Linked DNA regions of Neurospora crassa OR74A. The protein of the gene in region 1 interacts with the protein of each later gene in a pairwise test. Links are inferred from orthologs where the notes say so. Each region holds a gene or a part of one and is shown on either strand. Other genes may lie near its edges. The genes, in order: NCU04307 and NCU17251.

Region 1 (4,597 bases):
CCCCCTCGGCTCCACCGCCGCAGACGGAAGAACCAGAACCATCAACAAGCCCGAAGCGCAAGAGATTTTGCACGCAGTGGAGGAACTCTACTTCTTTCGGAGGTACGAGGAGGCAGTGGCGCTACTGAGAAAGGTATGGGAGGATGCGGGAGACAGTCTCTTTGATCGGGATACGACGGGGTTGTTGAGGTTGTATGAGACGAGGTGTGGGGAGAGGTTGAGGGTGAATGGGCAGTAAGAATTGGGAGAGGGAGAAAAAAGGAAGGGGAGGGGAGAATGGGGGAAGAGATGAATGGGTTGGTGGAATTAATGATACCCTTTTATTTTTACGTGCGTTGGTGATTACTTTGATTGATTGATGTAATGCAGTGCAGCGTTGGTAGGTTGGGTTGGTTTGGTTGGAGGTTCACATGAGATGGTAGTTCGTTCAGTTTGGTGTGAGCGCGAGGTTGGACAAGCAAGCATTATTTCAGCATGAGTTCATCGCGATGGGCTTTCAAAATACGAACGGCAGTCACGGATAGCGCCCAAAATGAAGCACGCAGTGTTTGAATGAAGGGAAATGTAAGATGTCTCTTATCTCAAAATTGAAATGTGAATGACGAGATCTAGCAAACATTGTAAATGCTCTAGTTTCCCTCTTCCATCCCTCTCTGTCCTGTCCATCATCTCCTTTTCCAATTCCATCTTAGCAGTTGCCGCAACCCGATTTATCTGAACCGTCTAGGATATGTACAAGGAGTTTCGTACCCCGCGCGTGTCCTCGGGTCGTCGCATCCAAGGCCATCAGTACCCCTCGCATCCTTCAAACCGTTTCGGAAACCCGGAAGCAAGGAATGATAAATGATGATTTTCAGTTTCCTTTGACCTCCATGCTCAATCCCAAGAATAACCCTAGAAATGAACCGGGGATAAGGGGGTAACTCCGAAAACTCCGCCTCAACACTGCTTGACATGATGGGGATGACAACGCAGAGATGAACACAAAAGATGAGGAAAGGAAAATGCAAGTCTATAGAAACACATCTGAATTTGGGATATCGAAATGAATAAAAGCAAGATAAAATGAAGATGCATCGCTTCTTCCCCCTCCTTGAGTAAATAATGAACACCGAACAACGCCGTCTAATGAAGTTGACTCCAAGTCTATGCTTTTTGGCTAAACTCCCGGACTCCGTACGACATCGCTTTTGTTTGTATGTAAACCCATCAATCGCAAAGAAAAAGAAAGAGAAGTGTGTGTGTGTGTGAGTGAATGCATCATTAATGCCGCGCCAAGCCAGGAGACAGACAATGCCTGCTGCACGGAACTGCCCGGAGCTTTTTTTTCAGCTCAATCGCTTGTTTGCTTGCCGCGGGTGCGCGACACGTGTGTGTGTCGCCAAATGTCGTGATTCGGCGTCGTGATCGAGCAGGCGATTTGATGATGCGCTACCGGCATTGCTGCTGCCGTTATGTGTGATGATGGTGCCGTCACTCAATTGCCCCAACGATGCAGAAATTCATCGAGCATCTCAGAGCGACCTCGGATCGCAAAAAGAGACTTAAGCAGCCATGCGGATGTTCCCAGCTTGCTCCCTGATGAGGCCCATCTTCTCCCTTTCCCTTTCCTCAGCGAAGACGCGCCTGCTCATGGCCAGCACGGACTCGAATCCTTCCTTGCCCTTGGCCGCGTTCTCCCGGAACCTCTTGACAAGGGTGTCCTCAATGCTGTTCTTGATGCGCTGCCAGCCACCAGCCAGAGCGGTGATCTTGGCCTCCTGGTGAAACTTGGTCTGGTGATCGGAGAGGGGCGAGTAGACGACGGTCTCCTGGACGTTGAGCAAGTTGCTCCAGGTGATATTTGTGGAGACCATGGTAACGGTCTTGGTCTTGGGGTCGACGTATGAAGTCTCAAACACCTGCGACTCGTCCATGCCGCCGCCCATCATGCTCTTGAGCCATTCTGGAGCAGCCTGACGGCAGGTGATGAGGCGCTCGGTGCGCAGGATGCCGGTGGCAGGGTCAACGCTGCGGCTGATGGTATCGACGGCGACAACGTGCGTCGACTTCTCGTTCCATGGGCAGTACTTCCGCCAGTTGGCAGTCGATACCTCTTCCCATGAGTAATTGAAGGTTTCTGTGTTGGAAAAGACCTTCATTTTGATAGCTTTGCGATGTGTTTTATTGAGTTTGTTGGTCAGGATTCGTGAGGTGGTGTCAAGATGGATTCCTCTTATAAGTGAAAAAAAATTCGACTCGGAAGCGCCGCGCTGACAAAAAGCAGACCGCAAGAACGGGAAAGACGATCCTTATGTCGACAATTGCGGTGACGCAAGCGAGCGGTCAGCTAGAAATAGGGCGTGGTGATGGTGGTGGTGGTGACTGTAAGAAATCGTCTGGACCAACGACAAGAATAGGACTTTTTGGTGGTCAAGGATTGGCTTGTGATAACGCAGAGAGCGGAGGAGCGCAGCAGAAAGTTCTTTCGCAGGGGCTAGACTAGTGACTAGTAGCTGACTGGGACCCTGGGTAAACAAAACCGGTTGATCCGAACAACGGCCTGGAACCTTGGGTTGATCGACGATAACGGAGCGCGTGCCTGGTTTGCTTGTGACACTACCGCTTGTACGTACGTCCCGTCTAAAAGGGGAAAATGATAGATTGGTTGTAATTGTTTGTGGTATGTGGTCGCGTGAAGGTACCTAGGTAGACAAGGCGGAGTGGAATGCAGAACAAGTGCAATACTATAAAGTGAGAGACACTTGAAAACAGAGTTGGACAAACTTTGTGAAGCCTCAAAAACAGCGAGACCGGAACGGAGCAGAGGAAGAGCGGTTGCGGCCTTTATGACTTGCCGCTTGTCATCGCGATATTCCTCGGCTTTTACCAATTGGAACCGAAATGTGACGCCTTTCTTTTTTTTTTTTTCTCCTTCCAGCGTTGTACGCCCCCGCGCGGTCCAGTTCAGTTAGTGGCTCACTGAGCCCCGTTGGTCCGTTCACACCCGTGTCTCACGAATTCTTATCGGGTCCGTGATAAACCAGAAAAAAAAGTGGCAACGCAGCTGCGCAGTCAGCCAATGGGATGAGCCACATTTTCCACAGTCAATCTCCACCAGCCTCAGCTTGGCGAGGTGTGGAAAAAATAGTCCGAACACACTGGCACCAAAAACCCACCAGAAAGTGTTCTGTCTTTTATTCGCACACCTCGGTTAGACAGGTCGGACACGGCGAATCTGACAAAGCCGCAGACGTCACAGCCGGCATACCTCCGTCATCCCCAGATGTCGATCACTCCGCCTCCGTGATCGCTTCCGTCACTCTTCGCCGCTGATTGACAATTTGGAAAGCCGTGGAATTTTTGAGCCTCTGTATCGGTACGGTACGGTTGTGGATCGCTGGGTCCGATTTGTGCGGCCTGCACGGAGTACGAGTGGATCTCTTGGGACCGGCTTGGCTCTCGAAGCTCCGCACATGCTCCGGTTGTCCTCCGTCTCTGGTCGACAGCCAGCTATATTGAAACATGACACGTTAGTTTTCATGTGCTAAACGAGTTCAAACTTCCAGCGTTAAATCCCTGCCATCAGCTAAAACAACCGTTACAGATTGACGAACCAAGTGTCAAAACGTCCTAGCACTCTGTAGATTGATGGCTGCGCGCTGCTGAGTTTCTGGCTGGCTCGAGCTTTCCTTCACCTCTCCCTGTCAAAGCGCACTCATCACCATGAACTCGTGGTGCTACAATCTTTTACAAGCAACATTACAGGAAGAAAACGCGAACCAAACAAATCCCGAACTTTTTTTGTCGTACCCTATCCTATGCTATGCTACCCCATTAATCCCTTAGAAATCATCACCACGGCTGATAACCTCCTTCACGGTAGGTCTGAGCAGAATGGTGTGCTCATACTGGGCAGTGTAAGAGCCCTTCTTATCAACCAATGGGGGATAAGCCTCGACAATACCCTGTGACACAAGGTTGTTCAACTGTAACACGCATCGATTAGCAACAGAATGATTCGGGCTGACAGACAGCGAACATCAAAAACTTACCCCGAGAAGATACTTGTCCTGACCCAAACGATCAATGTAACGCCTGCAGAAAGGAAGAGTACCAAAGTTCTTGGTGATCACGTTCAACAAGGACTTGGCAGAGGACAGACGGAGATCGACCTTGGCTGCATCACCACGCTTGGCGTAGTGCGAAACCTCACCCTCCTCATGCACGTAGCCGTTGCCCGTGCTACCGAAAGTCTCAATGGCAAAGACATCGCCCTCCTCCATCTTGGTCTGGTCGTTGCTCTTGACAATCGGCACGCTCTTGGTGCCGTGGATGCTGTAGTGGTTGATGGTGTGGCCGTTCAAGTTGCGGATGGACTTGACGGGAAGCATCTGACCGTTGATCTCAACCTCGTAGCTCTCCATGACCTCCTGGATGGCGGCACCAATGTCGCCCACACGCACGTCGATACCGGCCTCCTTGATACCGGCGTTGGTGGCGGCCTTGACGGCCTCGAGAAGGGGGTCGTAGCGGGGGTTGAAGGCGACAGTGAAGGCGCTGTCGACGATGCGGCCGTTGACGTGCACACCGAAATCCACCTTCATGACGTCGTCCT
Region 2 (3,371 bases), on another chromosome or scaffold:
CCGCGCATAGTAAAACATCTCCTCGGGGAGAGGTCTGATGCGCCAGTCCGCAAGCTGATACTTTTTGTCGGCTTCGAACTCGGCAAACTTGCTAAGCAAATAACCCAAGCTCCTTCCAGGGTACCCGAGAACGGCGCAAGCATGATATGTGTCGAAGAGACCTACAACGTAGAGACCAAGATCTCTCTGCAGCCAGATGACATCCATGAAAGCACCGTGAAGAACCTGGGTCAAGTTAGTCGATAATACAGTGAAAGCAGAAGGCCAGGATGTGTCTCACCTTGACAATGTTGGGGTTCGCAAAAACCTCATTCAGAACCTCAAGCTTGTGCCTCCAAGGTTGAAGAGTATCAATGACCCAATCCTTCTCTCTGGTACTGATCTGCATGAGAGACAACAGTCCGGTGTAAGACCTAAAATCGTGGTGCTCCAGATCAAGCGCAATTTCCTTGGCCTGCTTGAGCTCCTCCAACATCTCCAAGACGCCCTCATAAGTATCAACCCAGATGGCGGATGTCGAATCGATAGGAAGGTACTCCTTGGGTTCGCGCTTCTTGTACACATGCTCAGGGTACGGTGTCGTCTTGATCTCGGTTTCGTAGGGGTGTTTGTATCTGGGAGATTCATGTTAGCGACATGCTCTTATGATATTGGAAAGAAAGGTTAGACGTACTGTGTGTTGTTGTCATCATCGACAAAGGTGGTCAGGCTGTCTTCCAGTGACACCTTGGCATGAGGCTTGGACGACAACAGAGGCTTCCAAGGACCGGTAGCGAAGTTATCGACCTTCTTCTCGAAGTTATTCTGTGGTTTGAGAATGTTGGCTCTCTTCAAGGACCAGTCAAGACGATCGTTAGACGACTTGACGCGTTTTTGGGCGCGGCCCTGGTCGGCGGGGGTAGGCGCATCCTTCCGCTTGATCAATCCGGTGTACTCGTCGAGGCAGGTGTCGGCTTTCTCGAGCAACGAGTCGATCACGTCGACAATGTTCCGCCATTGGATGTCCACGTCGTCGGCATCTTCAAGAGCGCCAACCTTCTGGCCGGTAAGATTCGCGGTCGACTTGAGGAGCCCGTTGGCCAGGGACAGAAGGCGGCCGGAGCTGTTGTCGAGTTGACCACCGACAGTCGGGTTGACGGTGCGCTGGAACTGAAGATCCTCGCTGGCGATTGAGTTGGCGGTTCGGGTCGTAGCGACCAGGGCGGCTTGGAGCGATTCCCTCAAGCTCTTGAAGTCCAGTGAGCCGTCCATATTGGCCGGTGGTTCTGGAGTCGTTGTGGTGTGGACGTCACTGGAAGTGGAAGCCCGGTTCAATTTTCCAAAAATGGTTTGTCGTTCTGCTGCTCTTTGGGAACTTTTTTTGCGGACAGTCCCAGCATGTGGCTTGTGGAGAAAGCGCCAAAGTGAACGGGACCTCGAAAAGTGGAAGCTGCCCGATGGATGCCATCAAGTGGGCCTCGAGTGAGCTGTTCCCGCTCTGCGCTGGTAGAGGTACCTGATGGCCCATGCTGGGAAGTAGAAGCACTAAAGTAGAGAGACTTTGGGCAGCCGATTACATAAGGCCAAGGGGGCGCTTGCCAAGAGCCAAGATTGTGCTGATCTGGACCACCAACGTTCGTTCATCCATCGGCGTCCAGGCTTTTGAGATCCGTCCTGTGACGAAGTGGAAGTCCGCAACCCCATTGTTGAATAGCACCTGGTACTTGTTGGTTTCCAAGCGGACTCACCGGTGAACGTTGATATTTGAGATTCCGTACAACCGTCTTTTCCACCAAAAATATTCACCTGGAGTATCTCACGAACACCCTTCTATACGATCTTTTGCCCAAAACATAGATATACCGTCGATACCCATAAGTCATCGGACACCGTACCAAGCCTATCGTTTTGTTGGCAACACCTACGGTTGAAAACATAGCTCTGGACTTTAAAGATGTCCCAGTCACTCGCCAAGGAATGCAACGAGGCCAAGGAGTAAGTTTTTGTCCTTCATACGGAAAGAAAACAACATCTTAACCAGTTGTAGACGTTACGACACTTGCTTTCTCAAATGGTACAGTGAGAGTAAGTCTACAGGAACAGACACCCCAACTCAGTGGACATGTGTGATACTTATACTGGACAGAATACCTTAGGGGCAATGGTACCGAACAAAATAACGAATGTTCAATTCTCTTCAAGGAGTATAGCTCTTGCCTGCAGGTAGGACGCAAAACCATACAGCGCCCGTACTCTAGCATCGAGATAGCTTACCATATGGCATTTTACAGGTTGCTTTGAAAGAGCGTGGCATCGACAAGCTGCTTGAAGAGGCGCGGGAAGAACTCAAGGACAGCGACTCAACATACATGGGCAAGAAAAAATGTGAGTTTGAGCTTACGAACATGGCCAAAGTTGAAAGGATGACTGACTTGCTCAGAATACCAGAGCTGGACGACGTCTGAGTACCTTACTGTACCACTCGTCGACCAACTCCTTGAACAAAGCCGCAACAATCCAGTTATTCTCCTTACATTGCTCAATTATCTCTTCTCCGTATATATCATATATCGCCTGGTATTCGTGGAAGGACTTTCCATTATGCACACCCTCCATGTCTTGAACAAAGCCCATGTACCAAAAGTGTCACCCGCTGGTCTTTGACTGTACCTTTCTGATTATATCTTCTGTTGAGTTGTTTTCAGTGCTCTCTGTTATGGACGGAAGCCATGGATGACTTCAAGTCGGTTGAATGTTCCCCTTCCAAATAAGGTTTCCCGTCCTTGAGAAGTGGATCCTCCCCAACATCCAATCGGTTCATTACAGAGTGCCGTGCAGTCGCAGCCAGGTCGGGTTGCGCTCGGGGACTCTGGCTTCTGGGCGCTAGAACTTAGAACGCTCCACACTCCCTGTAATACTGCCTAAACTGCTTCGATAAACTTCAGCGCGAGTCTGAGCCGAGTCTGTCCACCACGACACGACACATAACGCATCTGATCGCCCTGCTCCCCCGTCCCCGTCCCAAATCAACAAGTTTTCGGCTTCCCGTTGTGCTTCCCGTCAGTACCAGCTTTGCCCGACTTCGACCTACCTAATCCAACCTCTTCGAACCGTCGAGTATTGTTTTCCCCCTCCCATTACAGCGCCCGCCAATTCCTCATATAACCGCACCCACTATCCGCCCGCATTTCCTCTCCCCACACAAGGGAAAGTGACATCGGACTACAGCATCTACCGGCCCAGACTTTTGCCGCGATCGCATGCTCGAACAGTAAGGGGCAGCGCGCCTCTATGCACCCCTTTTCTGTTCTTACACTCGGCATCTTCGTAGCTGGGTATATCACCGCCCGATGGGACCTCGTCACTCGCCTATATGAGCTTGCCATATTCGC

What was found.
Region 2: the proteins of NCU04307 (region 1) and NCU17251 interact in binary tests that used the Saccharomyces cerevisiae proteins (3 or more experiments, as listed by UniProt). The link is inferred for Neurospora crassa OR74A from reciprocal best matches to the Saccharomyces cerevisiae genes UPS2 and MDM35.

Annotation. Positions count from the first base shown.
Region 1 is NC_026505.1:5,567,975-5,572,571, reverse strand, and holds NCU04307 (MSF1), read right to left. Parts: upstream 2,885-4,597; 5' UTR 2,142-2,884; coding exon 1,545-2,141; 3' UTR 551-1,544; downstream 1-550. Other genes in the region: NCU04308 (hypothetical protein), read left to right, coding at 1-238; NCU04306 (methionine aminopeptidase 2B), read right to left, coding at 3,825-3,968, 4,035-4,597. UniProt on the Saccharomyces cerevisiae protein: Required for mitochondrial cristae morphogenesis and MGM1-processing. Controls the stability of mitochondrial phosphatidylethanolamine (PE). With UPS1, controls the level of cardiolipin in mitochondria.
Region 2 is NC_026507.1:3,164,328-3,167,698, forward strand, and holds NCU17251 (hypothetical protein), read left to right. Parts: upstream 1-1,613; 5' UTR 1,614-1,933; coding exon 1,934-1,974; intron 1,975-2,026; coding exon 2,027-2,064; intron 2,065-2,125; coding exon 2,126-2,202; intron 2,203-2,270; coding exon 2,271-2,364; intron 2,365-2,419; coding exon 2,420-2,421; 3' UTR 2,422-2,776; downstream 2,777-3,371. Other genes in the region: NCU02256 (exosome complex exonuclease Rrp6), read right to left, coding at 1-225, 281-614, 674-1,251. UniProt on the Saccharomyces cerevisiae protein: Involved in mitochondrial distribution and morphology. Mediates the import of UPS1, UPS2 and UPS3, 3 atypical mitochondrial intermembrane space (IMS) proteins lacking the two major IMS-targeting signals, into the intermembrane space.